2 separate regions of the Mus musculus genome follow, and region 1 is reported to be linked to region 2. Evidence: microRNA targets listed by miRTarBase, many of them from high-throughput screens and not tested one by one. Region 2 holds a microRNA gene; the other region holds the end of a gene's coding sequence.

Region 1 (15,906 bases), not on the chromosome of region 2:
CCCCATCTCCAATACACCAGAAAAAAAAATAGGACACAGGAGACCTAATCTTAAAAAGAAATAAGCCGGGCGGTGGTGGAGCACTCATTTAATCCTAGCACTTGTGAGGCAGAGGCAGGCGGATTTCTGAGTTCGAGGCCAGCCTGGTCTACAGAGTGAGTTCCAGGACAGCCAGGGCTATACAGAGAAACCCTGTCTGGAAAAAAAACCTGAATAAATAAATAAATAAAGCCGGGCATGTTGGGTAATCCCAGCTCTGAATGGATAGGAGCAGGAAAGTCAGGATTTGAAAGTTGTCCTTGAGAGGGTAAAGGCGCTTGCGGTGCATGCCTGGTGAGCTGACTTTAATCCTGAGACGCCCGGCCCACAGAGTTGGTCTTCCGCCCCTCATTCATGCTTCTCCCCATAATTAGCACTTTTTATTATATTATTTTTTTCCGCCTGTTTTCTTTGGTGGTGACACCTCATTTCATGGCAGCCTGCTCTCCTCTGTTGTCCAGCCACATAGTTACCATGCCACTTTGGTGTCCTTCCTCCAGTCCCCTGAACTGACACATTTGGAGTCCTGATGTAGGACAGCTCTGTCACATGGTATTTATTGGCTCTGCCTCCCGGCTCTGGACTCGCTGACACTCACCAGGAACCCAGTTACCCCAGTGGGTGCTCAGACCAAGAGACCAAGAGAGTGCTGCTTTGATGCCAGAAATCTGAGGTCATTGTTCTGATAGGCTGGCTTCCTGGGACCCAAAAATGGGCCTGCAGAGTTGCTCTTCAGTCTCTGTTCTGATAGCTGTCTGTTGTGTGTCTCTGATCTTAGCTCTTTTGTATATTTGTTTGTTTGCTTGTTTTTGTTTTTGTTTTCCTCCCAGACAGGGTTTCTCTGTGTAGCTCTGCCTGTTCTAGGACTCACTCTGTAGACCCTGCTGGCCTTGAACTCACAGAGATCCACCTGCCTCTGCCTCCCTAGTGCTGGGATCAAAGGAGTCCTCCACCACTATCTGCCTTTTTATTTTTCTCTCTCTCTCTCTTTCTTTTTTTTTTTTTTATAATGAGACCCAGTACCTTATATGTGCTAGGCAATTCTACCACTGAGCTACACCACCAACTGTTTTCTATTTTGAGCCCGGGATCTCACTAACACCTCCTGGATGGCCTCAGACTGATCGTTCTTTAGCCCAAAGCAGGTTTGGAACTTGTTGTCTTCCTGCCTGTTTGTGAACACAAAGGTCCTTGCGCTCACAGATAAGCACTGGGGAAACCAGGCATGTTAAACACACATGTTCTTTTTTTTTTTATAACCTGTTTTCTGCCCAGAGGGCTGGCAATGGAGGTTGGTAAGGTGTAGAGGCCAGGCGATACCTGGTTCCCCACAAGCTACCACAGCCAGGATTAGAGGTGCCCAATAGTCTAGATGGTCTCTGCATTGTCTATATGGCCAGGGCTTTCCCCAGGCTCCCACAAACAGGACCAGAGGTGGTTGATAGCCCAGATGACCTCTGGGCTGTATGTATGACGGAGACCACAGCAGATCCTCCCCTCGGCCATTAAGAAAATAATAGCTCACCAGAGGCAGGTCGATCTCTGGGAGTTTCAAGGCTAGCCTGGTCTGCAGAGAAACCCTGTCTCAAAAGCGCAAACACGTGAAGGTAAAGCCTATCTATAAAGCCCATCTTCATAGAAGAAGCGACACGTACTTTGAGAATAGTTTTGGTGTAATTGTCATGCCTCCTTGAACACCTAGGATTGTGTTCCACCAGGAACCCGTTTTGTTTTTTTTTTTTTTTTTCCCCAAATTGTACTGTACTTAACTATGCCTAAAATAAACTTTGTGATGTCAGACAGACTCTAGATGGTTGAATCAACCCCCGCTGCTGAGTCGTGCTGAATCAGGTTTCCTTCCTTGCCTCTTGTGGATCCTGGGATCATTCATTGGATCTTCACTCCGCCAGCCCTGGTGTAGGCAGAGACACCTCCCCCCAATACCCTTCCCCCTGCCCGCTTCACACATCCCCTGCCTCAGTCTCCTGAGTAGCTGGGAGACAAGCCTGTCCCACTGACACAAGCCTTTACCAGCTCACTTCTTTAAAGACCCTGTCTTTGAACATTCCATCACTGGGGACCAGGGGCTTCATATTTAGAATACAGCTGAACCCTATCAATTCTATGAAGTCTATGGGTCTAGCTTTGCCGGAGAGATCTGCATGTGGCTGAAGGGGTGGGGACCTCCCCTGGCGTGTCCTCCCCACTCTTGTCCAGTTCACAGCCTGAGGGAAGAACCTCTGGTCTGGATTTGCCCTCCCAGGAGCCTTGTTACCCTGTCACTCACTGCTGACTGGACCAGGTGACCTACCACAAAAACCATTATGCTGGCTTTTCCTGTTTTTCTTTTTTAAGATTAGTTTTATTAAATGGTGAGTGTGTGTGCTTGTGTGCACAAATAACAGAGGACAGAAGAAGGCATCAGAGTCCCCAGGAACTGGGGTTGCAGGCAGGAATGAGCCTTTTCACCTTCCTTTGTTGAATCCTCTCTGGGTCCCATTTTCCAACTGGGAAAACCAAGGTCCAGCATGGCTCAGAATGTAGCTTACCCTAAAAGAACTGCACACTACTTCCTGGGCTTTGGTGCCATCAAAGCCTGTTCTGCTGCCTAGCCTGCTGCTCTAGCTCCATCCTTCCTTGTGATTTTTTTCTATTTGTTCTCTCTCTCTCTCTCTCTCTCTCTCTCTCTCTCTCTCTCTGTGTGTGTGTGTGTGTGTGTGTGTGTAACATGAGTCTCAATGTACAAGTTTTGTTTGTCCCAGAACTCACTATGGACATGTAGATCAGGCTGGCTTTGAACTGTCAGAGTCTACCTGCCTCTGTCCCCAGAGCATTGGAATTGAAAGTGAGAACACCACTATGCTAGCTTTTCGTGTTTTTCTTTTTTAAGATTAGTTTTACTGAATTGTGTGTGTGTGTGTGTGTGTGTGTGTGTGTGTGTGCTTAAGTATACAAATACAAGAAGAAGGCATCAGAGTCCCCTGGAACTGGGGTTGCAGGCAGTTTGAGCTGCCCCGTTTTTGTAATGGTGGGAGCTGAACTCAGGATGTCATGAGTTGCTAGGAAAACTTACATCTCAGCCCTGGTTTCGAGTTGTAGGCTACGTGTGTATAATATCACTGTTAGGGTTGCTGTGGAAAGGGGTTATTTGACTCGTGCTTTCATATTCATTATTGAAGTAAGTCAGGGCAGGAACCTGGAGACAGGAACAGGGGCCATGGAGGGGTGCCACTTAACTGGCTTGCTTTCCATGGCTTGCTCAGCCTGCTTTCTTACAGAACCTAGGTCCACCAACCTAGGGATGGCACCACCCACAGTGGGCTGGGCCCGCCCACATCAATCACTAATTAAGAAAATCGCTTTACAGGCTTGCCTACAAACCTGATCTTCTGGAGGCATTTTTCTCCATTGAGGGTCCCTCTCTGATGATATCAGCTATGCCAAGTTGACAGGAAACTAGCCAGCAGGATTACTCACTCAAAAGAGAACAAGAGATGAGGCAGGAGCTCGAACTCCCGATTTCCTGGTCTCCTGGCTTTCCCAAATCCCCTGGAGAGCCATAGACAGAGAGCACGGTCTCGGGCTTCCCAGTCAGTTGGTCCTTTGAGAGCCAACTGGCCAAGGAAGCATCTTGAGAGCACACACTCCCAGATACCCTGACCAAGAGCCAGCAGAACTCTAGGGGAAGTGGTAGGTGCAGTGCAGCCAGATTGTGGTGTGTGTGTGTGTGTGTGTGTGTGTGTGTGTGTGTGTGTGTGTGTGTGTGAGAGAGAGAGAGAGAGAGAGAGAGAGAGAGACAGACAGACAGACAGACAGACAGACAGACAGACAGACAGACACGGGCTTTCCGCATTCTCCATGGTGGTGGACCAGCTATCAACCCTTGTTCGTCACTTGGCTACAGACTGTCCCCAAGGCAGCTCCTGGTTTTCCTGTCCAGTCCTCTCCCGAGCTCACACTTCAGTACCTGAGTGGCTTTTGGGAGGACAGTGGATTGATTGGTTGATTCCTTACTGTCTTCTCGTCTCTGCAGTTACTGTCCAGGCTGACCGAGCGGTTCGTGCAGGGAGTGGACATGTTCTTAGAGACGTTATGGAAAGTTTGGATGGAGCTCTTAGAAGTCCTTGGGCTTGACGGTAGGTACGGGGATGGTTGTGCAAGGTGTTTGGGTTGCGAGCTTTTGTTTTGGGGGGCTGTCTCACTATGTGGGGAGTCTCCGTGTCCTTAGCTGAGAGAACACCAGAGGGCTGAGGGTATGGAGCACCATGGGGAGGAAGGAGCATTTTACTTTTAAGAGCTGAACCTGTGGTCTGTGAAACTTCAAAAGCTGTGTGGGTACCCGGTGGTGGCGCACACCTTCAAACCCAGCACTTGGGAGGCAGAGACAGGCGGATCTCTGTGAGTTGGAGGCCAGCCTGGTCTACAGAGTGAGGTTCAGAATAGCCAGGGCTATTAAACAACCCTCTCTTGAACCCACCCCCCCATCTCACCCCCCAAAAAATACTGTGCAGACAATGGAGGTAGAGCCTGCAGTGATGGTGACCTGGGCCACCTGGAGCCTCTGGAAGCCAGAAGAGGGCAGAAGAGGCTCCCGAGAGTCCTCACACAGGTATGCTGTATGCAGGGCTGTGTGTTTCAGCATGCCAGAGGTAGAGTCAGTAGAGAGGAAAGTCACTTTGGGAGCACAGCCGTGGACTTGGCCTTTTGGCTCCTGGAACCCGGAGAGGGGATGAACCTCACCATCTAAGGTTCATCAGATACCTGGTGTATGGGGCTCAGTTGTGGCAAAGCCAGAAAACAGATATAGTGACGTAACAGGATCCTCTCAAAATCCGTTAGCCCCAGGCATCCTTCTTTACGGTTCTAGGACCCGGGCTCATGGTGGAGTCAGACTGCACCAGCCGGGACCCACATACCACCACAATGGTCTGCTCTTTACCCCTCACCCCACTTCCAGCCTCCACTCACCGAGTCTAACCTTCGAAAGGCCTCACATCAGGTCGTGTCACCTTGCCACTCAGGAAGTAGAGAGGTGGCCCTCAGAATGCTGTGAGGCACGCGGCCCACCCTGGGGACTGGGCTGAGTCAACATATACCCAAACGTTGCAACTGCATGCAATCCTGCCAGGGCTGGCTGCCTCAGCCATGACCTGCTGGGATTGTGCAACTCCGGGTTACCATCCCTGGGCAGTGAGCCTGTGGAGATAAAGCAGATTGCAAGGAATTGCATGCAGTGGGGTCTGGGAGACAGCAGAGCGGGGTAACACAGGACCCTGGGCATCACTGAGGAGACTTGGCCGGGTGCTATCCCCTGATGCCTTGTTTCTGTGCTGTGAGTCTCCCTCTTGGTTTGAATAAGCTGCAGGGCACCGAAGGCCTTTGGGAACCGTGACTGAAGCTCAGAACCAGGGTCGTCTTCAAGGTGGCTGCTCTCAGCTCCCAGTATTTTCTTCCCCATCAGTTTTCAGAATGTTAGTTACAATGGAGACCCCTCTGCTCAGATTGGTTTGATAGCAGTAAGCTTTGAGGTATATAGAGGCACTCTACTGGTCTAGTTATAGGGAAAAGAAATTGGTGAAATTTACCCTGGCATGGTGGCTCATGCCTTTAACCCCCATACTCAGAGGCAGGCAGATCTCTGTGAATTCAAGGCCAGCCTGGTCTATGTGAGGACTCCCCATCTCATCTCAAAGTTGGTGAAATCAATTTTACTATTTCTGTTTTGCTGCTTTTTTTTTTTTTTTGGTCATGTGTGTGTGTGTGTGTGTGTGTGGTTGTTATTTTGCTTTGTCTTTGAGACAGGGTCTCCTGTACCCCACACTAGCCTCAAATTCACTATGGTGGAACCAAGGATGGCCTTGAACATCTGATCCTCCTGCCTCAGCTTCCTGAGTGCTGGGATGACAGATGTGAGCCACTGTAAGCAGTCTGAGGGTAGCTCCTTGTAAAATGAGGAGTTTGAACTCCAGCACCATTTTTATAAAAATGGGTCTCTGTGTGTAGCCCTGACTGTCCTGGAACTCATCTGGAGATCAGGCTGGCCTTGAACTCACTGACGTCCATCTGCCTCTGCCTCATGAGTGCCAGGTTAAAGGTGTGAGCTACCACTGCCCAGCTTGTAAAAATATTTTTCTAGGTTTATTTATTATTTGTTTTTATGTGTTATGGGTGTTTCATACATCTGTGCACTTCATGTATGCAGAACCTAAGGGTCTGTCTGACATTGCCCTGTCTCTGGAGTTACAGATGGTTGTTGGGACTCAAACTAGGTCCTTGCAAGAGCAGCCAGTGCTTTTAACCACTGAGTCATTTCTCCAGTCCCATAAAAGGTGTTTTTGTGTGTGTGGGGGGGGGGGGGGAGGGGTTCGAGACAGGGTTTCTCTGTGTAGCCCTGGCTGTCCTGGAACTCACTCTGTAGACCAGGCTGGCCTGGAACTCAGAAATCCGCCTTCCTCTGCCTCCCAAGTGTGTGCCACTACTACCCAGCCATAAAAGGTGTTCTCAACTCATGAGGATACTAATAGTCCTGAGAGACCACCTGTGCCCCTCAAGTATTTGCTTTATTTTGCTTTCGTTGTGTCGGGTTGTGACCGGAGCCTATGGGTCCGGCCCCAGAGCTCAGCTGTCCTTCCTGCTTTCCGAGAAGGTCCCGACCACGTGGGAATAACTGGCCCTGTCCTCTTTTGCAGTGTCCAACCTGTCACAGTACTTCAGCCCAGCCTCAGTGTCCAACAGCCCCACCCGGGCCCTGGTGCTGGTTGGTGTGGTTCTCCTGGCCTACTGGTTCTTGTCTCTGACCTTGGGCTTCACCTTCAGCCTCCTCCACCTGGTGTTTGGCCGCTTCTTCTGGCTCGTGCGTGTCATCCTGTTCTCCATGTCCTGCGTGTATATCCTACATAAGTACGAGGGCGAGCCAGAGCACGCAGTGCTACCGCTCTGCGTCGTGGTGGCCATCTACTTCATGACGGGGCCCATGGGCTACTGGCGGGGCAGCCCCGGTGGCCTTTGCAGCCCCAGTGTGGAGGAGAAGCTGGAACACCTGGAGAACCAGGTGAGGTTGCTTAACATCCGCCTCAACAGGGTGCTCGAGAACCTTGACCGCTCCAAGGACAAGTGAAGGTCAGCTGCCTAGCCGTCCAACCAGCTAGTGATGTCAAAAGACAGAAGAAGAAGAGAAGAGCCGGCAACCCCACCAAATCCCAACCCTCCCAATAAACTGAGCAAAAACGCCACGCCTGGTATTTCCCACTGTGTGTCGACCTTAGGAGCCACTGGAGGAGAGAGCACTTTCGTAGATCACCAGTGGGAAAGCAGTTTTTAAACAACGGATATACCCCCTGTTAGCTGTGTAGTCGGATAACTTTACCTGTGCATAGAACATAATGTTGATTTTTCTTCCCAAACATTTAAATACATCTTTTGTAAGGTTTTTAAATAAAGGCAGATGGAGTCAAGTTTATCAGAGCTTTGAAGGGAACGCTTGACGTCCTTAAGGAGGTTAAAATTGGCTTGTGGGTGAGCACCGTGTGCAATCTCTTCGTCTTCCCGAATGTGACCTTTATTTCGTGTCTTCTGGGGTTGGTGGTGACCTGGTTAACAAGTGCTGTCTCTTGTTCTTGTGGACACTTGGGCTTCAGAGGATTGGATCCTAGGGATCCTGTGAGCTCTTCGTCCATTGTGCCCCTCCATGTCTATTTCTGTTTTGTATGGTGCTGGGGATACTGAGCCCACCCCCCCACCCTTGTCCATTGTATTTCTGAATGAAGGTACCCACAGACGTCCCGAGATCTCTTTCTCTTCTCTGGACTTCAATGTAGATTAACCCTAGCCTTTCCAGGAAGAAAGGACATGGATGGAGCTGCAAACTGTCTTTGGAGTTTGATGCTAAGAACCGGGTAGGCCCCGAAGATCATTCCAGAATCCAGCTGAATCTCACATTCCCTGTTGGCCAGCGAGGCCCAGATAGCCGGCTGGACCCTCATGGGAATCACTTGTTTCCTTTGCTTCTAATTGACTCGGGACCATAGAAGAAAAAGGAACCGTTCACGGCCAGTAACATCCTTTATTTCATTCCTTCTAGAACATTCGTAGGCATAAGCAACCTTGAGATCTGAATCGTTTGTCCTGAAATTTTTATAATTGTGTTAGGTGCTTTTTAAAGTCTGGGGTCCAGGGCATTGCTTGTTAATAGCTAAACCCCTGGGTGCAGAGACCTCTCTGCCAGCTTCTGTGGAAAGAGAGCTGGCTTTTGTGGGATGTCACTAGGGTCGCCCGTGAGGACTGTGGAGCCACTGAGTCCCAACTTGAGCTTGGAGGGGGACCCAGCTGATGGCAGCTCTGGTGCCGTATGTCTGTGAAGTTCTGTCTTTGGTTACAGGTATCTGTCACACAGATTTGGGTCTTTGAGGATGTGGCCGAGAGAGACCTCTGTTCTCGAGGTGACAGGCAGTATGGGACTCTCATTTTCTTGAATTTCATTCCCTTCTGGAACCGGTACTGGGGAAATCTCTCCACAGACATTGGAAATCCACAACTTGTGATGTGAAACATTCCGATTTTGTTGTTTAGATGCTCTAGGCATATCTACTCGCGGCACAGGGTGGAAGTAGCCGAGAAGGGGCACCTTGGCTGTTAATATCTTTCCTTCCAGATGTCTGGTCATATCATACTAAAAGATTACTTTTCAGATGTTGGCTAGGGGGCAGTCACTCTCTGTAAAGCTAAACCTTCTTGCCTTGGCTCCTCTCAGTGGCCACTTGAGATGTTGTAGGTCGATTCCTATACAGTCCACTGTAGCTAAGACTGCAACTCCACCCAGTATTCAGGAGGCAGAGGCAGGAGGATTGCTGCTATTTGAAGGCCAGCCAGGTCTTAAGTGGTCTATTTCAGGTCAGCCAGGGTTACATAGCGAGACCAAAAGCCAGGTATGGTAGCACAAGAGAGCAGAGGCAGGCACATCGGAGTTTAAAGCCAGTCTGGTCTATGTAGTGAGTTCCAGGACAGGCAGTTTTAATACACTGAGACCTTGTCTCAAAACAATAGCAACAAAAAAGGTAAAAATCTGCAATATTTTTTTCCAGTCTGACCAAATGTAGACTCTAAAGCCAGTTTTATAGTTGAATATATATAATGTGTATATACATATATATGCTATATATATTCATGTATTATTTGTATATATACACTATATATATACATACACAAGATGCCTTCATTTTAATTTTTACATCTAGTTATTATGATTTTTTGAGACAGGGTCTCATGTATTTAAGACTGGCCTTGAACTTGCTAAGTAGCTGAGACTGGCCTTAAACTCTCCTGCCCCCAGCCCGAGTGCAGGAATGATGTGCACATGTGACTACGCCCCCATTGTTCGAACGCCTTGGGGTGAACGCGGCCTATGCATGTTAAGAGAGCACTCAAGAGTCCAGTCCTGGATACCTTCATTCTTAGTGGAAGAATGTACAAATCAGAGTAGAATGTTACTTGAAATTCTAGTAGTTTTTTTGTTTTTAAAAACTTCAACCGGGCGTGGTGGCGCACGCCTTTAATCCCAGCACTCTGGAGGCAGAGGCAGGCGGATTTCTGAGTTCGAGGCCAGCCTGGTCTACAGAGTGAGTTCCAGGACAGCCAGGGCTACACAGAGAAACCCTGTCTCGAAAATCAAAAAAACAAAAAACAAAAAAAAATAAAACAAAACAAAACAAAAAAACTTCAGATGGTGTTACTGTGTTTGATGCATATATTTTAGCTTGTTTGTTTGTTTGTTTGTTTGTTTGTTTTTCTTTTTGAGGCAGGGTCTCTCTACATAGCCCTGGCTGTCCTGCAACTCTCTGTGTAAACCAGGCTGCCCTCTAACTTGCAGAGATCCACCTGCCTCTGATTGCTGGTATTAAAGGTGTTGCACCACCATGCCTGGCATTGTTTGGAAGTAATCATAGCCCCCAGTAGTTAAAGATTTTTTTCTTTTCTTCTTTCATTCCGTGGACAGCTTATTGGCCTCCCTTCCCTTCCCCCTCCCCCTATCTCTTTTGTATGTGGAAAGATGTATTTTTGTACCTTATTTCATGCCTTATCTTCAGGGCTGTGTACAACTCCTCCTTAACCGAATAACATGATAAACATTTGGACAGCAGCCACTGTGGATCTATTATAGATAAGGGGCGGGGCAGGCGATATGGCTCAATGAAGAAAGGCACTTGCCACCAAACCTGAGTTTGATTCCCGGGACCAACATGGTGAAAAAAGACAGACCACTCCCACAGGTTTCCTTCTAACCTCTACGCATGGGCTGTGGCTTCCCACCCCTTGGCCCCAATAAATACATATATACTTTTTTTTTTTTAAATGAAAAGATAGTGTAAGGATTATAACTGTCTCAAAGTCAGTATTAACTCCCTGGTGGTCGTCTCTCATATTAGGTACTTGCTTTACCGAGGACAGGACTGGTTGCCTCTGAAGTGTACTGACTGGGCTTAGCTTAGGGTATTGGGGTTGGTGATTTTTGATGGTGGTGTTTTATTTTGAATTATTTTATGTATATGGGTGGTTTTTTTTTTGTTTTTGTTTTTTTTGTTTTTGTCACACTTGTATGTCTGTGTACCACGTATTTGCCTGGTGCCTGCAGAGAGGAGAAGAGGGTGTCAGATCGCCCTGGAATTAGTGATAACTGTCAGCTGCCTTGTGGATGCTGAAAAAGTCAAACCCAGGTTGTTTGGAAGAACAGCCGGTGTGCTCTAACCACTGAGCAGCCTCTCTGGCCCTATGGTTCGGGGTTTTAGAGATGGCATCTCTTGGACTCCTGACTGGTCTCGAACAGGCTATGTGGTGGAGAAGGACCTTGAACTCCTGATCTCGATCCTTCTGGATGCTAGGATTAGAGACAGATGCTAACACATCTGCTCGGGATGGAACCCCGGGCCTCCTACATTTTACATAAGCGTTCTACCAAATTAGCCCGGTCCCAGCCTGTAGTCAGTGTTTGTATAGTGGTCTCTTCCCTTTTCTAGTCAGGAGGCTGTTGGTATAGCACACAGACACCTTTCACAGACTCACTTCCTGTTGTTGCTAGCATCCCCCACCCTTTGGGCCCTTTGTTGAGGCTCGACCCTCTTTCTACTGGCAATAAGTGTGGAAAAGAATGTCCTCACAGCTGGCCTTTTGACCCATGATAGGGTCCTCTAATTCATAAAAGTGACCCAGGGACGAGCCTAAGAGGCAGCCTGGGGATGAGGCTCAGCAGGCCACAGGGGGTTAGGAGCAGAGCTGTGAATAAGCAACCAGGAAGGCATGTCTTTCCTAGGGACCTCATGAGAACCTCTGAGGGAAGGTTGGGAGCATTGTCCTATGGCCCTGGCACACTCAAGGGCCCTGTGTGTGAAGAGCTCTGCTTGCTCACGTGGTCCTGTCACTCCGGCCTGCTCACAGATGGCTCGGAAACAGCGTGACCAGGAAGCCCGATGTGCTTTGCAAACCCAGGACTCAGTCTCCAGATAGATAGGAAGGTGCTGAGTTCAAAGCCATCCTGGTCTACGTGGCAAGACCCTGTCTCAGCAAACTAACCCAACATGTTCAAGAGTCAGCACGAGAATCTTTAACAAAGCTCCTCTGCATCTTGTGCTTGGTAGGCAGCCTGAAGCACTTCCCTTCTTCACAAGCCCTGTTGCTTTGGTCTGTTCTGAGACAGGGTCTCAATCTAGCCCAGGCTGGCCTCGAACCTAGAGATCTGCTCGCCTCTGCCTCCCAAGTACCAGGCTTAAAGTTGTGCACCACCATGCCCAGAAAGCCAGCATTGGTGAGCCTGGTGCGCACCTGGAGCTACAAGGAATTTCCAAGGCGACCCTCTCAGCCTCTTTACCTTCAAGTCCTGGGCTCCTGAGCTCTGCCCCCAGCATGAAAGCTGCTTTCAAAGCAACCTGTGATAATTCTGTAATGTTTTTGAGTTTGACCATTTATGTACTTGGGCTTTGGGCTCCTCACCTGTGAATTGTAGATTTCTATTTTGCGGGTTTTAACCCAATACCCTTGTCACTGGCTGGCATCAGCAAGCTTCGGCCTTTTTGCTTCCTTCTGTGTTTTGCTCTTTGGTGGTCCTTCCATAGCTAGGACAGACACGGAGAACCTGTCTTTCAGTCCTGATGGCACAAACAGCACATTGTTGCTGCCACCGGGACAGCTACGGCAGCCAGTGGCATGCCCGACTCTCCGCCCGATGTCTCTGCGGATTTCAAGCTTATGCTGTTGTGTCAGTTTCCTGTCTGCATCTGTGATAAATCTCTAAATATCCTGTAATTAAATTAATTTCTAGTGACAGTGATCAATGTGCAGTTAAATCCCCCAAGAGGTAATTATTTCCCTGTTTTTAGCTGCAGATTAAAAAAAAAAAACACCAATGACTTCTTCACAGTTGAGTTTCTGTTTTGTGTCTCAGCTTAGGAAATTTTAAATAGTATTTAGTTTGACACAGTAGAAAGAAAGCCATTCCGTGTGAACATAGTGGGGTGTGTGCACACACGCACATGCGCAAACATTAATTGGGAAGCTGATTCTACGAATATCTTATATAGGGAAAAAAAAGCGTCAGGCTTAGTATTTTTTTGCAAAGTGATGGATACATTCCTCTTATTTATTAATCACTGGCTTGATGTTAGAGGTCTTTGTAGATCGACTTTAAGAATTGGATTAAAATATTGTGAACATTGCGGCTTAATAAATGTTTACTGTGGTGATGTTCAGACTCCTGGATGGATTTCTTTACTTTGGTGAGGCACTTGAGGCAACCTCCAGAATTAGAGAGTCATTTTATGGCTTTGGTTTATTTCTTTATCTTAATGTGTATGACTGCTTGGCCTGCGTGAGTGTATGTATACTTTGTGTGTCCCTGGTGCCCTTGATGGTCAGAGTCCCTGGAAACGGAGTTACAGATGTTTATGAGCCGCCATATGGGTGCTGGGAAGTGAACCCGGGTCATCTACATGAATAGCAAGTGCTTTTAAATATTGAGCCATCTCTCCTGCACTAAAGATTAATTTAAAAAAAAAAAAAAGGGCTGGAGAGGTGGCTCAGCGGTTAAGAGCACTGACTGCTCTTCTGAAGGTCCCTAGTTCAAATCCTAGCAGCCACATGGTGGCTTGCAACCACCCCACCCCCCAACCCCCGTAATGAGGTCTGGTGCCCTCTTCTGGAGTGTCTGAAGACAGCTACAGTGTACTTGCATATAATAAATAAATAAATCTTAAAAAAAGATTAAGTTATCTGTATGTGTATGAGTGTTTTGTCTGCATATGTGATGGCACCATATACATGCAATGACTTCAGAGCCCAGAAGAGGACATTGGATCTCCTGAAGATGGAGTTACAGATGACAGAGAGATACTGTGTGGGTGCTGAGAACTTGGGGTTCTCTGCAAAAGCAGCCAGTGCTCTTAACCACTGAGCTATCTCTTCAGCCCCATCATTTATATTTATTTATTTTATTTTTGAGACAGACTCTGACTATGTAACTCTGATTGTTCTGGGACTCACTATGTAGAACAAGGTAATCTTGAATTCACAGCGACCCATCTGCCTCTGCTTCCCAAGTTCTCGGATTAATGAAATGAAGCGCTACTCCTGGCTATTTTAAAAATTATTATTATTATTTTTGTTTGTTTGTTTGTTTGTTTTCGAGACAGGGTTTCCGTGTATAGCCCTGGCTGTCCTGGAACTCACTTTGTAGACCAGGCTGGCCTCGAACTCAGAAATCCGCCTGCCTCTGCCTCCCAAGTGCTGGGATCAAAGGCGTGCGCCACCACCGCCCGGCTAATTATGTTTTTATGTGTTTGTAATTGATTGCCAAGAACCCAGACGAGGGCTGGGCAGGTGGCACACTTTTTTAATCTCAGCACTTGGGAGACAGAGGCAAGCAGCTTTCTGAGTTTGAGGCCAGCCTGGTCTATAAAGTGAGTTCCAGGACAGCCAGGGCTATACAGAGAAACCCTGTCTCGAAAACCAAAAAAGCCGGGTGTGGTGGCGCATGCCTTTAATCCCAGCACTTGGGAGGCAGAGGCAGGTGGATTTCTGAGTTCAAGGCCAGCCTGGTCTACAAAGTGAGTTCCAGGACAGCCAGGGCTATACACAGAAACCCTGTCTCGAAAAACAAAACAAAACAAAACAAAAAAACCCAACCCAAACCAAACAAACAAACAAAATCTTGAGGGGGAATCAGATCCCTGGGAGCTGGAGTTGTAGATGTTTGTGAGCAGTAAGTGTTCTTAACTGCTGAGCCATCTCTCCAGTCCAGTTTTAAGTTATTATTTTGTGTATCTGTGTGTTTTTAAAGTTTTAAAAAATTTGTATTTAGTATGGGGTGTGTGCGTGAATGTGTGTGTGGTTTGCTCACATGCACAGATAGCAACAAAGTACTGCTGAAGAGTTGCAGAGAGAGGTTGGGGTAGAAACCACAGGGGCAAAGATAAGGTTCCGGCTGTGAAGCTATGAAGACACACTGTGGTCCTTGTGGAAGCTAGTAAGCATTAAGATCCAAACCTCTGGTTGCTAAAAATTCTGGGGGGCGTGGTGGTGGCCGTGGTGGGCAGCGGAGGAAGCCTGGAGCCCTGGCTTCTGCCAGCCTTTGGCTTCAACAAGTAGTGACAGCAGGCAGATGGTGCCCTCTAGCGCTGCAGGGATCAGTGTTTGTACCCTTAACCAGCGTGTGCTCCCGGAGCTAGCGTGCTCCTAGGTAGTTGAGATTTTTCAGTCTTCGGGTATGCCTGGCTTTGTACCAGACCTACCAGGTAGGAAGAGTCTGAAGTTCTTTTCAGTGGCCAGTGCTTCCAGCTCTCCTGTGGGAAGTTGGGATACTTTAGCTCGTAACCTCTGCCTCGCATTACCAGTTACCAGCGTTATAAGGTTAGACCTTGGGGTCACACCCTTGGCCCTGAAGGCTTGCCCGATTTCTGCAACACTTCCAGTTAACCCGAGCCTACGGTCTCTAATTTTCTGCCTTCTTGCCTCCTTACTCCCTTGGGTTACATGAGACCCTACCTTGGAAACAAATGGGGCCAGTGAGATGAGGTTAAGGTGCCTGCCAACGAGTTGACGCCCTGAGTTTGATCCCTGGGACCCACATTGTAGGAGGAGAGAACTGACTCCCCTAAGTTTGTCTTTCTGACCACTACATGTGGACTATGGTACACACGAACCCACCTACTTACCCGCACATGCTTGGGAAGTGAATATAATAAAAGTACATTATGGGCTGGAGAGATGGCTCAGCGGTTAAGAGCACTGGCTGCTCTTCCAGAGGTCCTGAGTTCAATTCCCAGCAACCACATGGTGGCTCACAACCATCTGTAATGGGATCTGGTGCCTCTTCTTCTGGTGGGTCTGAAGATAGCTAAAAGTGTACTCATATAATAAAATAAGTAAATTTAAAAAATACATCATGTACATGTGCATGAAATTGTCAAAGAAGAAATAAACAGAATTAATATCAGGAGTGCTTATAAACAACTTACCATGAACAGTAATACCGGTTTTTATATTTTGAGACAGGATCTCAGTGTAGCCTTGGCTGGCCTCAAACTCAGCTTCCTGAGTTTGTGATAAAACGCATGCACCGCCACAATAATAATGATTTAAAACAATTCTCTAATTGCTTAACACCTGCCCAGGGCCCCAGGGAGAGATGAGTCCCTCCTATCTGTCTCAGTCTCAGACTTGTACTTGTGAACCTTGTTGCTGTCAAGGAGCTAAGGCTCTGACACCTGAGGCTCTTGAAAGCTGAAGCCCTGGAAAGTAACCCCCTCCTTTGCTACACACACACCACACACACACACACACACACACACGCACACGCACACACACACACACACACACACACACACA
Region 2 (15,906 bases):
CTTTAGGTATGGACACTGAGATATGAACTTCACATGTCACAGGGTCTTTTTTTGGCTTGTTTAGGCATTTAAAAATAAAAACAAAGCCAGGTGTGGTGGTGCACTCCTTTAATCTCAGCACCTTTAATCTCTGGAGGCAGATGCAGCAGATCTCTGAGTTCAAGGCCAGCCTGGCCTACAGAGTGAGCTCCACGACAGTCAGGGATGAAGCCCTGTCTCAACAAAACAAAAGTGCAAAACCAGGCGTGGGGACACACGCCTTTAGTTCCAGCACTCTGGAGGCAGAGACAGGCAGATTTCTCAGTTCAAGGCCAGCCTGGTCTACAAAATGAGTTCCAGGACAGCCAGGGCTACACAGAGAAACCCTGACTCGAAAAACAAAACAAAAACAAACAAAAAGTGCTTTGCATGATTTCAGGTTAGATTTGGTCTAACCTCATACAGACCTCAGGCTCCAAACCTCATTTTCAAAATATCCAAGAGCCATGGTGGAGGAGAGGAAAATTGTATTTCTGGATAAAATCAACTACTTCAGCTAGTTCTCCTTTGCCAGGAACCAGACTTCATGCTTGACGGCCAACGTGTAAATTTCAGACTCTCTTCCCCTCCACGTTTCCATTTTGAACACATACCCTGAATAGTTCTAAATAAAGGTGTTACTGGCCCCAAATAAAGACCAGTTCACCAAGTTGTTTCCTTCCATAACAGTCACCAACAAGAGAGGCAGGAAGCCCTTGTTCCCAGCCCGTGTTTCCAGCTCACGTACACCCAGTGACAACCATGTGCCTCACAAGTTCTCTTCCCCAACCATGTTAAGAACAATATCTACAAAATACACAGAAAAAAAAATGGCACAAGATTCAAGTCCATGAGCGTGTTCCTGTTTGGTGCTGGGGGCTTGAGATTAAAATGCATTCTCTCAATTGTTCTGTGGCTGCCGTCATTAGGATGGGCACACCAATCTCAGTGCAAAATTCTTTTTCATCACTGGCCCTAAGCTGGAACCCCAGCCCTGGAGGGGAGGGAGAGCTCTCTAAACATCTCCAATTACCGCCAATACTTACTACAAATGTTTCTTACTAGTGGAGTTACCAAATTTCTCCGGTGGAGAGGAAGGCCTAGTCTTATTTTTACATTTATGGGGCTTTGAATGAGAATGGTCCCATAGGATCATGTAGGTGAATGCTTGCTCAACAGCAGTGGAACCCTTTGAAAGGATTGCAAGGGCTAGGAAGTGTGGCCTTGTTGGAGGAAGTGTGTCACTTTTTTGAGGTTTCAAACACCTATGACAGTCAGTCCTGCTCCCACCCCCCACCCCCAAATCAGGATCTAGTTCTCAGCTACTGCCCCAGACCATACTGTGTATGCTGCCACGCTCCCCCCACCATGAATAATGGAGTAAATTTCTGAAACTTTAAGCACGCCCCCAGCTAAATCCTTTGTTTTGTTAAGAGTTGCCGTGATCATGGCGTTTCCTGACAACACTGGAACAGTGGCCAAGTCACAGCTTGTGTCTTGTCTTACTCAAAGAAGCAGCAGGAATATTTCTGTTTATTTTCTCCTTTCTCCAGTACACTTAGCAAGGCCGCTTTCCTTCGTGCGTCCAATGAGTCTGCCTTTCCTAGTCCCTTATTTTTCCTGAATGTAGCATTTACAACGATACTGCATTTCAAGTGAAGCATTTGCAGGATCAAGAAGTCAACTATTTAAAAGCGTCCCTCAAAGCAGGATGCTTAGCCTCAGGAGGGGACTCTTCTATTTTCTTTTCAAAGTGTCAAAGCATCTTTCAAAAGGGAGACCTGGATAGAAGCGATAGGCCGGCACATCGAATCTCCAGGACTCGCTTACCGGTTTTCCCATCACAGAAGACCACCCAAGACTAAGAAGGTATGTAAGGATCCAGACGGCCCCAAGCTTCTTGTCCTGACATAACAATCCTAACACAATTCAACTCAATTGTGGACTCCTTCCTGACACCAGGTTACAGCTGGTTCCTGGTCATGTGATCCAACAAAGTAGGTCACGTGAGAAGCCTGCTCCTTCCATTCCAAGCCGGGGTAGGCGACAAGTGATAACACTCAGGCCCTAGCGTCTGCACCACTCAACACTTCTGCCACTCGGTTCAAGCAAGACTTGTAGAGTTTCTGCTTCTGTTTCCGACACCGTGTCTCCTCTCCCCAAGCTTGGCCCACCACGCGTCACAGCGTTATCTTCTGAAAGTCACCCCTCAGAGTGGTCGGCGCCCGAGGCCACGCCCCCCCCCCCCCCCCCCCGTCGCTCTGCGCCGCGCAAGTCCCCAAATCCAGCTCCTGTCCTAGCATTTCCAGGGTTCCCTCTCCCGGCTTCTGTGCTCCGCTCAGTCTCCAGCGATCCCTCCCTACCTCCGCCCTCCATGGCGTCGCTCCTGTGCTGTGGGCCTAAGCTGGCCGCCTGTGGCATCGTCCTCAGCGCCTGGGGAGTGATCATGTTGGTGAGGGGACTAACCCGCGAACGGGTCTGAGGGGTTCTGGGGTTGAAGGGCTGGGACACGAGGAACCGCAAGCCTTAGGAAGCAGCAGACTGATTAAGGGGCTGACTAAATAGCCGCTGGAAAACGAGACGGAACTCAGATCCAGACAACTGGGGAACTGGAGCGAAAGGGTGCTGGGGCAGGACCCTGGGAATGGGAGCCAGCTCGGGCAAATTTGCGGACTCCCCAAGGTAAACAAGAGCGAGGTCCCTGAGACTTGCGTGAGTTGAATGGAGGCGAGGGTGAAGTGTGCTTGCCCCCGAAAACGGTAGCTGAGGCCTTGCTTCCCCAGGGCCCTCAAGGCCGCCACTTCCAGAAATATGAAGTGTTTCATCTCCATCTGCTCCCATGATAATGACGCGCCTCGGAGAGCTGTTTGCCATATACCTCCCTATACCCAGTCACTCTTCCCAAGGTCCTACCTCACGCCCTGTTCCACATGGCTGAGTCCGAATCCAGATACAACCACCAGATACAACTAGCCCTTTCTAGTTCATCTCTGGCGCAAGTGTTGGGCCAACATTAGACAGGGGAGGAGCCTAGGGAGCGACCAAAGAAGTAAGGTAAGAATTTGACAACCTATCTATTCCTTACTCTTCCAGATAATGCTCGGGATATTTTTCAATGTCCATTCTGCTGTGTTAATTGAGGACGTTCCCTTCACAGAGAAAGATTTTGAGTAAGTGGTCGGGTACTTGGGCGAGTTGGGCGTGGATGAGGAGTAGCATGGTTTGGGTTTATGGGGAGGACACTTCTGAAGACTGGACATTTGTGGCCCTAGGTTGGGGACTTCAAGAAGAGGGCTGCTCTCTACAAAGTAGTTGGGTGGCAGCACGCAGGGTCCTAGTTTCAATCCCCAGCGCGAGAGACAGAGACACAGAAAGGCATGTACTTAGGAGCAGTCTTGCAAGCCACGTTTCCATGGCTACCCAAGCCCACCAGCTTAGATGTGGCCTCTTCCAATATTTTGCCTTCCTGCTCCTTGGTCTACCTCTGTAAAATGGTTACCATGATAGAATTCATTTGGTATGCTTCTTGGGAAGACTAATAGGAGTTAAAGTGCTTTAGCATGGTGTCTGATGCATAGAACTTGCATATTGGATGCTCTGAATGGCTGACATTTCCCTGCTCGCTCGCCACCTTCAGGAACGGTCCTCAGAACATATACAACCTGTACGAGCAAGTCAGCTACAACTGTTTCATCGCCGCGGGCCTCTACCTCCTCCTCGGAGGCTTCTCCTTCTGCCAAGTTCGTCTCAACAAGCGCAAGGAATACATGGTGCGCTAGAGCGCGGTCCGCCTCTCCCTCCCCAGCCCCCTTCTCTATTTAAAGACTCCGCAGACTCCGTCCCACTCATCTGGCGTCCTTTGGGACTTGTGACCCTAGCGAGACGTCATCCCTGGCCCTGCAAAACTGCGCCCAGCCTCTGGAGGAGACCGAGGGTGACCGCGCCCCGTTCTGAACTACAATAAAAAGAAGCGGTTCCCCCTAAGCTTGCTGTCTGTGCTTTCAGGGAGGGGCGGGCCCGGGCTGGAAGGGGCTGAGACCGGCCTCATCGAGGAGTCCGGACCCTCCGACGGAAGTGGAATGAAGCTAGCCGGAAGTGAAGCAACGTCTTCCACCTCGTCTTCCTCCGCGCGGCGAGGCCCCTTGAGTGACTGGGGAGAGGTCGGGTCTCGGCCAATCAGCTGCAGGGAGGGCGGGACTTCCTGCGCGGGAGCCCGAGCGGCCGGCTGCCGGGCTCTCCGTGGTTTCCAGCTCGCGTGGTGGTGGTGGCGGCGGAGCGTCTCCGTGAGGAGGTGCGCGGGGCCATGACGTCAGCGTCCACCAAGGTTCGACCTCCCTCGCGGACTGCGCTCCCTGGCGGCCACGGGAGGGTGGGCCCCCTGCCTGGCTCCCGGCTGGTGCGCGCTGGGCGGGGGGCGGGCGGATCCGAGGCTGGGGTGGGACGGCGCGCTGCCGGCCCCCCGTAATGCTGCTCCGCCCCCAGGTTGGAGAGATCTTCTCCGCGGCCGGCGCCGCCTTCACGAAGCTCGGGGAGTTGACGATGCAGCTGCATCCAGTCTCGGACTCTTCCCCTGCCGGGTACGTGAGACCAGCCTAGGACCTGGACTCCGAGATCAGACGCTTGGACTCAAGTCACAGACACGACCCTCTCTAGAGCAGGGAGATAGAGTAATTCCCCTGTGCCTGGCCCAGCTCAGTGTAGGTGGTAATTGTTGAATTAGTGGATGACAGGTAAAGAGACTACCGAGGCCACAGCCCTCCACTGCAAACCGACAGAATGTCTGCCACCTACCCCAAGCCCTGTGGACTCCCTCAAACTGCTGCCACACATCTTTCAAGGGTTGTGTTTGTAAGGCCCCTACTTGTTTCATTGGTTTCCGTTGGGTTGTTTATGGAAGCTGTTACATGATGAAGTGATGTTTTCAAGTGGCCCTGGATGTAATTTCATGTGGCCAGCGATTTGTCCCCAGGGCTTTTTTTTTTTTAAAAGGAGGTCCTTTTTATGAATCTTTGAAAGGTGCCCCTAGAGACTAGGGGGAAGAGGCTGCTGGCTGTGGACGGAATAGCCTGTGGGCTGGTTCCACACATCCCTCTTCCACTTTTGTTATCACCCTTCTCCCCTTCCGACAGTGCCAAGTGGACGGAGACGGAGATAGAGATGCTGAGGGCTGCTGTGAAGCGCTTTGGGGACGATCTTAATCACATCAGCTGTGTCATCAAGGAACGGACAGTGTGAGGGAGGGTGGCTGGCAGAGAAAGGGGAGGGTGGGCAACTTTCTTCCTCCTGACCCATTGTTCTCTCTCAGAACTCCCAGCTCAGCATCTTTCCTACTTTGTTCCTAGTTTTGTTAGCATTTCCTTGAAGACTGAGAGACTGTCACTGTGGCAGTTGGTCGGAAGATCAGGAAATGCAGTGGTCACTAGGGCCTGCAGAGAACTTTATTTTCATGGTGCCCAGATACTCAGTGGTTGTGTTTGATGATAAGAGTTCCCTAGCTATTTATGTAAATCCTTTGAAACTGGCATGTCCAGGGGATGCATTCTGAACTAATTAGTTGGTCAGGTTCTATGACAGTCTCAGTCTACCTTTATGTCACCACAACATACCTGGTGGTCCTACAAAACCATGCATCTCTCCCAGAGGATCATGAAAAGGGCCTTTCTGGCCACTCAGTTCAGGGACTCCATTCATCTTAATCTATTAGCCCTAAGTGGATGCAAAAGTTCTGAACGTGGGGGGGGGGGGGAGGACCCTTATTACACATGAACTGGGGCCTTGACCTGGATATCTACAAAGGAACTCCTAGAATTCCTTCAGAGTGGCCCATTATTCCCTCCCCTCCCCTCTTCCCTCGGCTTCTCTGATGACACCCTAATCTGCTCTCTCTCATCTTCAGGGCTCAGATAAAGACCACTGTGAAGCGAAAAGTGTATGAAGACTCCGGCATCCCCCTTCCAGCTGAGTCACCCAAGAAAGGACCCAAGAAGATGACGTCCGGTGTCCTCTCACCTCCAAACGCCCCTCCACCCAGCAGCTCCAGTGTCCCTGAAGCTGGGGTTCCTCCCATAAAGAAACAGAAGGCTGGTGAGGGCTGTGGAGTTGCTGCCTAGGGTAGGGGTTAAAGGTCCTATCTGAGATTCAATAAGAGAATTGGGCCTGGGTCAAAGAAGGAGAGACGCTTCTCTTCTGTACGCTGGTGATTCCAGAGTGGGTAGAGGGATGTGTAGAGCATGAAGCTTTGGCAGACTGGGAGGAGGGAAAGACAGCAGTCAGGGAAACCTAGAACTTAGCCTATGCCCCCTCCCAGATGTGACACTCAGTGCTCTGAACGACTCCGACGCCAACAGTGACCTGGTGGATGTCGAAGGGCTAGGAGAAACTCCTCCAGCCAAGAAACTCAACTTTGACCAGGGTAGGAGTCCTCCTCCTCCCACGCTGGCTGGGGGTGGGGAACATACTCACCTGGATGGTAGGGGAGGGTCCCCACAGAAAACCCCTTTCTGGTGCAGGGGCCTCAGAAGGAAGATTCAGTGCAGGGGAATGGGTCAGTTAGTAATACGGCGTTTGAGGAGGTGAGGGTTTTCTTGGAAAAATCCTCCACGCTTGCTCCATCTCTGTCCGTTTTCCTTCCTGTTCCAGACAGCCTGACCCTGGACTCTGGCCTCCTCACCACCTCCGCTGATGCTCCTCTCCTCTCCTGCTGAGCCTTCCACCTCTGACCCTCATTGTTCACCCTGGACCTGTGGATCACCTGGGACTCTAAGCAAGGACTGCCTGAGAGAGGGTCAGAGGGCTGCTGGAGCCATCCACCTCGTTCCTGATAACCATGTGCCCTCGCCCTTTGACTTCTGTGTGATGGACATTTTTATACAGAAAATTATAATTAAAAAAGATTCTCTCAACATGGTGCTGCCAGCTGCCGTTCCCTCTCCTCTGCTTCGCCCTCGGGGCTTGGCCCCTTCTCAGTAGCTCTCACCACCCTGCCTGGAGCAGCACAGCCAATATTGGCAGACTCACTTCCCCATGCCAATATTTCTGTGCTGCTAGAGCCAGGAGAGTTGGGTGTGGGCAACAAAGACTCTACTTTGCTCTGTGGGGCCAGAACTCATTACCAGGGTTCCTGATAACTGGTATCAGACAACCTGGGGGTTGCAGAGGGGCTCTTTCCAGTGTCTCCTGTCCCACCTTGCAAGAACTTCATCACAATACCCTAGACGGTGTGTGTGTGTGTGTGTGTGTGTGTGTGTGTGTGTGTGTGTTGCTTCTCCAGGGTGGCCTCCCAGGGCCAGGCTCATCGGTGCCTCCCATACCCTCGCTCTAACACCACAGTGTGGTTTGGACGTGGCCACAGTGCCGTACAAACCACAGTGTGCTGCTGGGGCGGGGGCAGGACTGGGGTGGGTCGAGAGGAAGACAGCACAGGCAGTGCCGTGAAGACCCCCACCTAGAGTGAGACAGAGGTGTGAATGGCAAACATGGCCCCCCAAAAAAGCTGGGGGGGGGGAACAATCAGGAACCAGCAAAAGTAGTTTAGCAGGCAAAGGATAGGGCCCTGGCAGATGAGTCCAATGTGATAAGCTTGGAGCATTCTTCACCTCTGTAGGAATTCAGCTCTGGGGATCCTTAGGAAACGGGATGACTGGGGAAGACCAACAAACTGCCTCCCACAAAGGCAGGGACCTAAGGTTTCCTGTGTCCATTCCTCCCTCCCTAGGTCAGAACCCAAGAGAAATGCTGGAAGACACAGGGCCAAGGACAGCAGGGTTGGGAGTTGGCAGTCCAGAGGTGGTGGGGCTGGAACACGGTTGAGAGAGGGGGGCCGGAAGTCGCCCTGGGCCCTGGGCCTGCCACAAGATGGAGGCCAAAGGCAGGAAATGGAGGCCAGGGAGAAAGGGATGCAGCAGAGCCCAGGAAGAGGCTCATCTGGACCAGAGGGCAAAGTATTCAACCCCAAGTGCTGCTTCCATTCCCCATGGTCCCCCAAGACCCACGCCCCACCCACACAGCAACACTCATTAGCCCATTCACCAGGCCCAGGCAAGCAGGCCCACCCCTGAGAGCCACGTTTAAGCAAAGACAAACATGCCTTTTCCCCACCCCCAACCCTAGGCCTTCCCATAGCCCTTTCCTCCTGTCCAAGACTTGATTTTAAAAAGAACCTCCCAGAAGGCAAAAGTTTCTTCTGGAAATTTCAAAACAAAACAAAACTCTGTAAACCCTAGATATTAACCTCCCATATCTCATCCCACCTTTTAGCACCACCAGGCTTCCGACACACCCCCCCAAAACTCTTAGCAATCAAAAGATTTAAGATGGTGTGTGAAGCAATCTTTTTAGGCCCCCCTAGTATGCCAGACCCTCTCCAAGACTACCAGATCACCTATATCAAGCCCTGCCAACGCCTCCTGCTCCTTGCACCCTCCTGGACCCCCAGAAACAACTGCTGTCCCCCAGCTCCCATCCCAGCAAAGCTTTTGTGGGGCTAAAAAAAAAAAAAAGCAAACACTGTCCTAATGTCTGTAGGAATATTGGGGGCTCTCAAGTCTCAAGCTTTGGTTTCAGTATGAGGTGCTACGTCTTAGGGGTACAAGAGAAAGCTTCTCTGGTCATCCCCCCAATTTCAAGAGTTACAAGGCGCAACCCCACCCCAGCACGCACCTCCAAACCTCCCCCCCAACCGCCACGTCTCTCCTGAAAACAGGGGACACTTTCCTCCCCACTTACCTCAGCTACTCTCCCCTGAGATCCTGGTCCCCTATTTTGAAAGGAGCAAATTTTGGGGTGCATCCCTCACATTTGGGGTGCAGGAGAAAAGAGACGCCCCAGTCGCATCGCTGGCCTCCTTCCTCTCAGCTGGCTCAAGGACTGGGGAGTGCCCTGGGGTGGGGGACCCCCACAAGAGAGCTCTGGAGGGGTTCCTCCACTCCCAGTCAGAACTGGGGACACCCCCCCAAAACCCGTCCCAGCCCATCCGTCTCCAACTCGGCGGGAGAGGCAGCTGCATTGCCCCAGTCAGATTCCCCCAACACTACATTCCTCACCCCATCTAGAGGGATCCCGGGGCCCCCAAAAAATCCCAAAAAAATCTAGGATGTTGGGAAGATGGTCCTGAACTAGCTACCCAAATTTGGGGTCCTTAGATACCCCCGTTTTTTCAGGAAAATTCTGTCTTTCTCCTGCCTCCCGCCAGCCCTGCTCTGTCCCGATGCCAATTTTGGAAGTCACTCCCTCCTTCCTCCTCCCCGTTTCTCCAGGCCCCCCCGCTTGGGGGCTAGGGTCCAGGACACCTGGTTTCCAGACCGGGGGACACTCTTTAGAAGGCTAGGGGCCAAGAGGTCAAGCTCATTGCCCCTGTCTCAAGGAAGCAGGAAAGCCCGATCCTCCCCTCCCCTCCCCTCCCCCCTGGCTGGTCTCGGTGGTGGTTTAGGAAAGCCTGGAGGACTGGAATCTGCCATTGCTATTGCACAGGCAGTTTTTTTTTCCTTGAGTTGGGGGGGTGGGCGGTGGGAGGGAGAGAGGGGAGGAGAGCCGAAGAGAGCAGGGACCTAGGCGGGAATATCTGGCCTGGCTTACCCTCTAGCCCCTGCTGCCGTTGGAAACCCCTCCCCCGCCTCTCAGTTCACCCTCATTCCCAATCCTCTGTCTGCTTTCTCTTTGGGGCTCTTATCTTAAAATATCAGGGTGCAAGATTCACCCCCCCCTTGTAGACCATCACAGCCTTTCCTTGCCAGTTTCAGCAGCACTGTTAGTCAGAAAGTACCCACTTTAACAAGAGACACCCCATCTCCTCCAAACGGATTTTTTCTTCCATAAGAAATCGGGGTTCAGAGTATGAAGCCACCTTTCCCCCCTTAGCACAACAGGTCATATTCCAGTGAGTCTATGATGGACCACACTGCTTTTTCCAGGCTTCACCCTTCAAATTCTGGCCTTATTTGGGGGTTCACTAATTTTTTTTACAATCTGGGGTGCCAGGGGACTATCAGCAAAAGATAACCTAAGTCAGAAGTGTGCTTTAGAATAGGTGAACCTCCAAATCAATTTCAATTTATGACCCACCTCTCAGCTTCACCAAATGTGGCCAGTGGCAAAACACCCAGAAACTGGATACCCCCCAAACTATCCTTCTACCCTGGGGGGGCTTCTCAATTCTCTCCTGTGGAGGAGTTTCACACATAAACATGTTCACAGGAATATCCAACCCTCAAAATGAGTTTCCACAAGATTCAAATACAAAACTTTGCCCCCCCATCAATCAAGCTCTCAGCTACAGAAAGCCTTCAGATCCTCTCCTAGCTTCTGGCTCTGCCACCAACTCAATGTAACTGGGCTCTCTAAAAAGCCCCAAGTTGACCTTTATGTCCCCAAACAATCTCATCCAAACCTTGAAACAGCACTTGGAAAGAGACTATGTCCCCCAAATTAGTTGCGTACTCATGCTCCCCCAGTAGACCAGAAATTAGAGATGGACAGTCTCACATGGGAGCATCAAATCCCTCCAAACCCCCGAACTAAGACATCTTTAAAACCAGCCCCGCACCTCCAATTTGCTATCAGCTGTCGAGACTAAAAACAGGCCTTATTGACTACAATAACTTCTATGGCAAGTGACACCCCAAAACTCAGAATAGCTAACTCTGTCCTGACATCAAAGCCCTTAATGTTTTCACCTCAAATTTGGAGATGAAAATTGGATAGAGACCAAATAATCTTCACAAAGTAAAGCCACATCGTCATCCAGGGTCCCTAGCTATCCCCAACCCCCAGTTGGTTTGCAGTTTTGTTTGCTACGTTTGCTTAAAAAAAAAAAAAATCAAAACCAATAAAACAAACAAAATGTACTCCACCCCCAAGAACAGAAGGGAGAGGCCTCAGGCCTAGATATGCTGGTCCATTCTTGCACAACTGCTATGCTCCAAACCCCAAACTCAAAGAGCTCCTGCTTTGTACCTGGGTTCAGCTCTGCCCCTCTTCTTCAAAGGAAACTTGTCCTTCTATCCCAAGGCTCCCCAAACAAAATCTAAGGGTGTGGTCCCTGCCTAGCTTCTGAATGAAGTACTTAGCTACCAGGTTCCTCCTGCCCTTTCTCCTCTGTCCTCTCTGTTTACTCCGACCAATGCTCATATTAATGTTCATTGAAAATTCCTGTCTACAAACATCTGGGTAGAAGGGTCTATCAAATTAGAAAACAAAACAACTGTGTTCCCAGGCTCAAGACCCCATCTCATCCTAACCACTATGTTCATTCCAAAGCCTTCCATAAGAGTTCTAGCCTGAATTTCCTGCGGAGACCCTAACTCTTCTGTCTTCGATCTACTGCCCCACAAAGAGACAGAGGTGCAGAGGAAACTATCAGAAAGAGAAGGCAGCTGAAAGTTTCCTGTAGCCTGGACCGAATGCATCCAGCTCACTGGTCTGAGCACATCACCAGCCAGGAGACCTAGGGGCGAAGCGAGGCTGGTGCTCGACCGCCCTCTCGTGGAAGGATGCAGACATTGCCGAGCTTTGCCTACTTGCCGCGCTGGACCCCGGCGTCCCGCCAGACTCTAAGCGCAGCCGACGGGCGGGTGCTCGAAGCCCTAGTAAGCTAGGACTGATGGAGAGCGTCAGGGCTTTAGGCGGGAGTCTGTATCTCTGGATCCCTATAAGGGTTGAGAAGAGAGTCGAGAGTAGGAGGCCGGACGCCTAGGTCTCCCGAGCGTCTCTCGGTCCCCACCCGGGGTTTTCCCCACCTCCTCGAGGGGAAGCAGCTGCAGGAGCCGTCCGGTCTCAGGACAATGGAAGGAAACGAACTAGAAATCATATCCGCCCTCTCCTTACCCCGCCTGGTCAGAGCTCCACCTCCCCCTTTTCTGGACCTTGCCTGTCAATCACTCCTCCTTCTCCCACTATCTGAGATCCACTGGAGTCCACTAATGCCTCCCCAAACCCGATACCACTTGGACTGTCTATTTTCTTCCTGAGTCCAATACATTAGAAAGAGGAGTTTTAGGATATTTCCTTTCTCCCTCAACTGGCTGTTGGCACACGCCTCCAAAACCCAACACTCCAATACTCGCTGTCCCAGCTCCTTCGACGACATAAGCCTCCCATATTACCACCCTCCGCACCACTAACCTCCCCAATTCTAATATCCTCATCCTCGGGTGCTTATTTAATGAACCAAAGCCATCCACGATACGACCACCCCGAGATTCTGAGATACAGTTTGAAACGGAGACCCCGCCCCGGGCTCACCATCTGGAGAGCCTCAGAGGAAGGAAGGATACAGACTCACGGGTTCACCCCACCTCCACCCCCGCCCCCGCCATCCCGGCTGAATAAAGGAGCAGAGACCGAAAGAGGAGAGAGACCCCGCCCCCCTCGAGAAGAGAAGCCGCAGCCCCTGCGGGACAGGGGTAAGAACCAAACCCTGAGGGTATCAGATTTCTGAGTCTCCAAAGAGGGCTTGGGGTTAGTTGATAGTAATAAGACCTGAACCCCAGGAACTGTGCTAAGAAGAGATGGAAAGTATTGGGTCTAGCGATAGGAGTCGCGTAGATGGGTGTGGGCTGCAGATCATATTTGGTCCCCCAGGTAAAGTCTGGTACCTGTGACCCAGGCGCCCGGGGAGCAGAGGAAAGGAAGGTAGTGGATGAGGTAACTAGAGTCGAACCAACGCACGGCGCGCGGGAGTGCGGGATTCCTCACGCTCGCCCTCCAAGCGGTGGAACGAGAGTTTCTAACTTGCTCCAAGATCTCCGCGATCCAGCAAAGGGAAGGAAGGAAGCAACCGTTTAGGGCAGAATGAACGAGAGGAATTAAGTGGTGATGCTGAGTCCGCTATCTGATGGCGTTGGTTGGCTCTAGGGGTATCCCAGGTAGAAAACATCAGAGAAGAAAGGAATCTGTTTTAGTAATGCCTAGATCCTCTAACTTTTTCGGTGGCTGTCGCAGGCTTAGGTCGCTATGGGTTCCACAGCGGCCCCAGAGGGAGCTCTGGGCTACGTCCGAGAGTTCACCCGCCACTCCTCCGACGTGCTTAGCAATCTGAATGAGCTGCGCCTGCGCGGGATCCTCACTGACGTCACGCTGCTGGTTGGCGGGCAACCCCTAAGAGCGCACAAGGCAGTTCTTATCGCTTGCAGGTTCGAGGGGGTAGGGCACCTGGGGACTAACTGGGGAAAAAACAGAGTAACATGGCTGTTGAGAGGTAATCCAAAGCATGAGGGAAGCTGGGAATAATGGTCCACACCGGCAATCCCAGAACTGGAGAGTAAGAAGGGGGGAGGAAGGAAGAAGGGAGGGGGAAGCTTGGGAGAGCATCCAAAAATTGAGGCAGCAGTGCTAGTGGGGAGGCAAGACTCTCCTTTGGTCTCCCGGCTCCTAACATGACCAACCCATCTGCCCTCTCTCCAGTGGCTTCTTCTATTCAATTTTCCGGGGCCGAGCGGGACTCGGGGTGGATGTACTCTCTCTGCCGGGGGGGCCAGAAGCCAGAGGCTTTGCTCCTCTTCTGGACTTCATGTATACTTCAAGGCTTCGCCTCTCTCCAGCCACTGCCCCAGCTGTCCTCGCAGCTGCCACCTATTTGCAGATGGAACACGTAGTCCAGGCGTGTCACCGTTTCATCCAAGCCAGGTAAAGGAACCATGGATTTGTATTCTCCCTAGCAGAACTAGTGCCGGGAATAAGGGCAAAGGCAACGACTAGGAGACGGTGTTAATGATCATCCTACTTTTTCTAGCTATGAACCTCTAGGCATCTCCTTGCGACCTGTGGAGGTAGAACCCCCAAGACCCCCAACAGTCGCTCCACCAGGCAGTCCCAGGCGCTCAGAAGGACACCCAGACCCACCTACTGAGTCTCGAAGCTGCAGTCAAGGTTCCCCAAGTCCAGCCAGCCCAGACCCCAAGGCCTGCAACTGGAAAAAATACAAATTTATTGTGCTAAATTCTCAGACCTCACAAGCAGGAAGCCTGGTTGGGGAGAGTTCAGGTCAACCTTGTCCCCAGGCCAGGCTCCCTAGTGGAGATGAAGCCTGTAGCAGCAGCAGCAGCAGTGAAGAAGGAACCACGCCTGGTCTCCAAAGCAGGTATAGAATCTATAACTCCCAAGAGTTTTAGAGTCTGGTCCACTCTAGGAGGCAGAGCCATTGAGTAGGCCATTGTGGCACCCTCTGAACCAGGTTTCAGGGATACTAACCCAGCTTAGGGAGTTGGCCAAAGGCCAAAGGTGGGACTTAATGATCAATATTGGCTCACTTCCAGAAGACAGGCCTTGAAGTCTGTATATTCCAGAAAAGGGGCAGGGCGGGGGGAGCCAGTGCCCCACCCCCAATCCCTAACCTTTTCTATGGCTCTTAACTTCTGCCTAGACTATCTCTAGCTACTACCACTGCACGATTCAAGTGTGGAGCTCTAGCAAATAACTCCTACCTCTTCACACCCCGGGCTCAAGAGACTTCTCTGCCAGCTTCTAAGCAGGCTAATCCACCGCCAGGTAAGAGGCTTTCTCTTCTGGCTTCTCTCCTGTAGCTGATCCAGGTCGATTTGGACCAAAAAGACCTCAGAATAGACCTATTGAATAGTCCCAAACTTGACTGCATTGGACCCCCTCTGGGTAACGTTCACCCCAGCAGTCAGAATGTCTGAGGGTGAGGACCAATCATAAATATTTTTAAGCTCTCTATGTACTTCCAAAAAGCAGCACAGTTTGGGAATTTCTGGCCCACCCAATCCAAGACTGAACGATCTGCCCAGAGTTTGGCAGGGCCTCTCTGGCAAGCCAGAAGGAGGCAAGAAAGGAAAGAAACAGAAAGCTCCACCCACTCCACACACTGTCAGCACCATTGAAATTAGCAGCATGCTACTAAATCAGTCGTATCTTACTGACTGACTGGCCACGAACAAGCCAAGTGACCGCCAGTAGCCTCCACAATAATTTAGGGGTTAAAAGGGCCAGCAGACCCTACTAGTGTACTGTTGTAGATTTATGGGTACCTGGGGGGAGTCCTCAGTAAATAACTAAGATTGTCATTGTTCCCTACCCTTAGGAAGTGAGTTTTTCAGCTGCCAGAACTGTGAGGCTGTGGCTGGGTGCTCATCGGGGCTGGAGCTCTTAGCTCCAGGGGACGAGGACAAGCCCTATAAATGCCAGCTGTGCCGATCTGCCTTCCGTTATAAGGGCAACTTGGCTAGTCACCGCACGGTGCACACAGGTAGGAGGGGGTCTTGGTCTTCCTGACCACCGCTCCCGTAGGGCGATCTGACTGTCTTCCAACTTGCAGGGGAAAAGCCCTACCGCTGCTCCATCTGCGGAGCACGTTTTAACCGACCTGCTAACCTAAAAACACACAGCCGCATCCATTCCGGAGAGAAACCGTACAAGTGTGAGACCTGCGGCTCGCGTTTTGTTCAGGTAAGGAGAAGGCTGGAAGGCAAATGGGAGGAGCGAAGAGGGTTCCGCCCCTCCCCAAGGTGATCTCAAGGCTCTGCCCTTTAGGTGGCACACCTACGCGCACACGTGCTCATCCACACCGGAGAGAAGCCCTATCCGTGTCCCACCTGCGGAACCCGCTTCCGCCATCTACAGACCCTCAAAAGCCACGTTCGCATCCACACCGGGGAGAAGCCATACCACGTGGGTACCCTATACAGCCTAATAATGGAATTATCCCTCGTATACGCAGGGACGAGTCTTGCCAGAAGTGCTAGGAATAAGCGACAGCCTAAAGAGCCCTAGTGAATCAGAGGCTTGCACCCGGGAGAAGGGGTGGAGGTAATTATGTGCCTGGACTAGGTGCTGTTGTCCCAAGGACCTAACAGTTGTTGATGCTTTTGTTAAGAAAGGCAAGGCCTATCTCCTGGGCGCCCCCAGAGGACATAGAAAGGCTGATTGTCAGCGGAG

Evidence for each region. The annotated mature microRNA mmu-miR-497a-5p reads CAGCAGCACACUGUGGUUUGUA and lies in region 2 at 7,375-7,396, opposite strand. An mRNA with a match to its seed (bases 2 to 7 or 8) in the 3' UTR can be bound and repressed. Matches are read on the target gene's strand: a 7mer-m8 pairs with bases 2 to 8, a 7mer-A1 pairs with bases 2 to 7 and ends in A, and an 8mer does both.
Region 1: miRTarBase lists Bri3bp as a target of mmu-miR-497a-5p. Seed matches in the 3' UTR shown: 8mer at 8,884-8,891.

Annotation. Positions count from the first base shown.
Region 1 is chr5:125,447,598-125,463,503 of GRCm38, forward strand. Bri3bp (Bri3 binding protein) reads left to right here. Exons shown (of 3, transcript NM_029752.2): 2 at 4,073-4,175; 3 at 6,729-13,288. The coding sequence ends at 7,156. Among named protein-coding and RNA genes, the nearest start is that of Gm40325, 9.0 kb to the right of the region's middle.
Region 2 is chr11:70,226,220-70,242,125 of GRCm38, reverse strand. It overlaps Mir497 (microRNA 497), which reads right to left and starts at 7,409; the gene lies at 7,326-7,409. It overlaps 0610010K14Rik (RIKEN cDNA 0610010K14 gene), which reads left to right and starts at 4,212. Exons shown (of 6, transcript NM_145758.1): 1 at 4,212-4,342; 2 at 4,501-4,595; 3 at 5,148-5,249; 4 at 5,915-6,102; 5 at 6,326-6,430; 6 at 6,662-6,922. The coding sequence starts at 4,322. The coding sequence ends at 6,666. Mir497b (microRNA 497b) reads left to right here and starts at 7,310; the gene lies at 7,310-7,434. Mir195a (microRNA 195a) reads right to left here and starts at 7,084; the gene lies at 6,991-7,084. It also overlaps Bcl6b, Rnasek, Alox12 and Gm40191.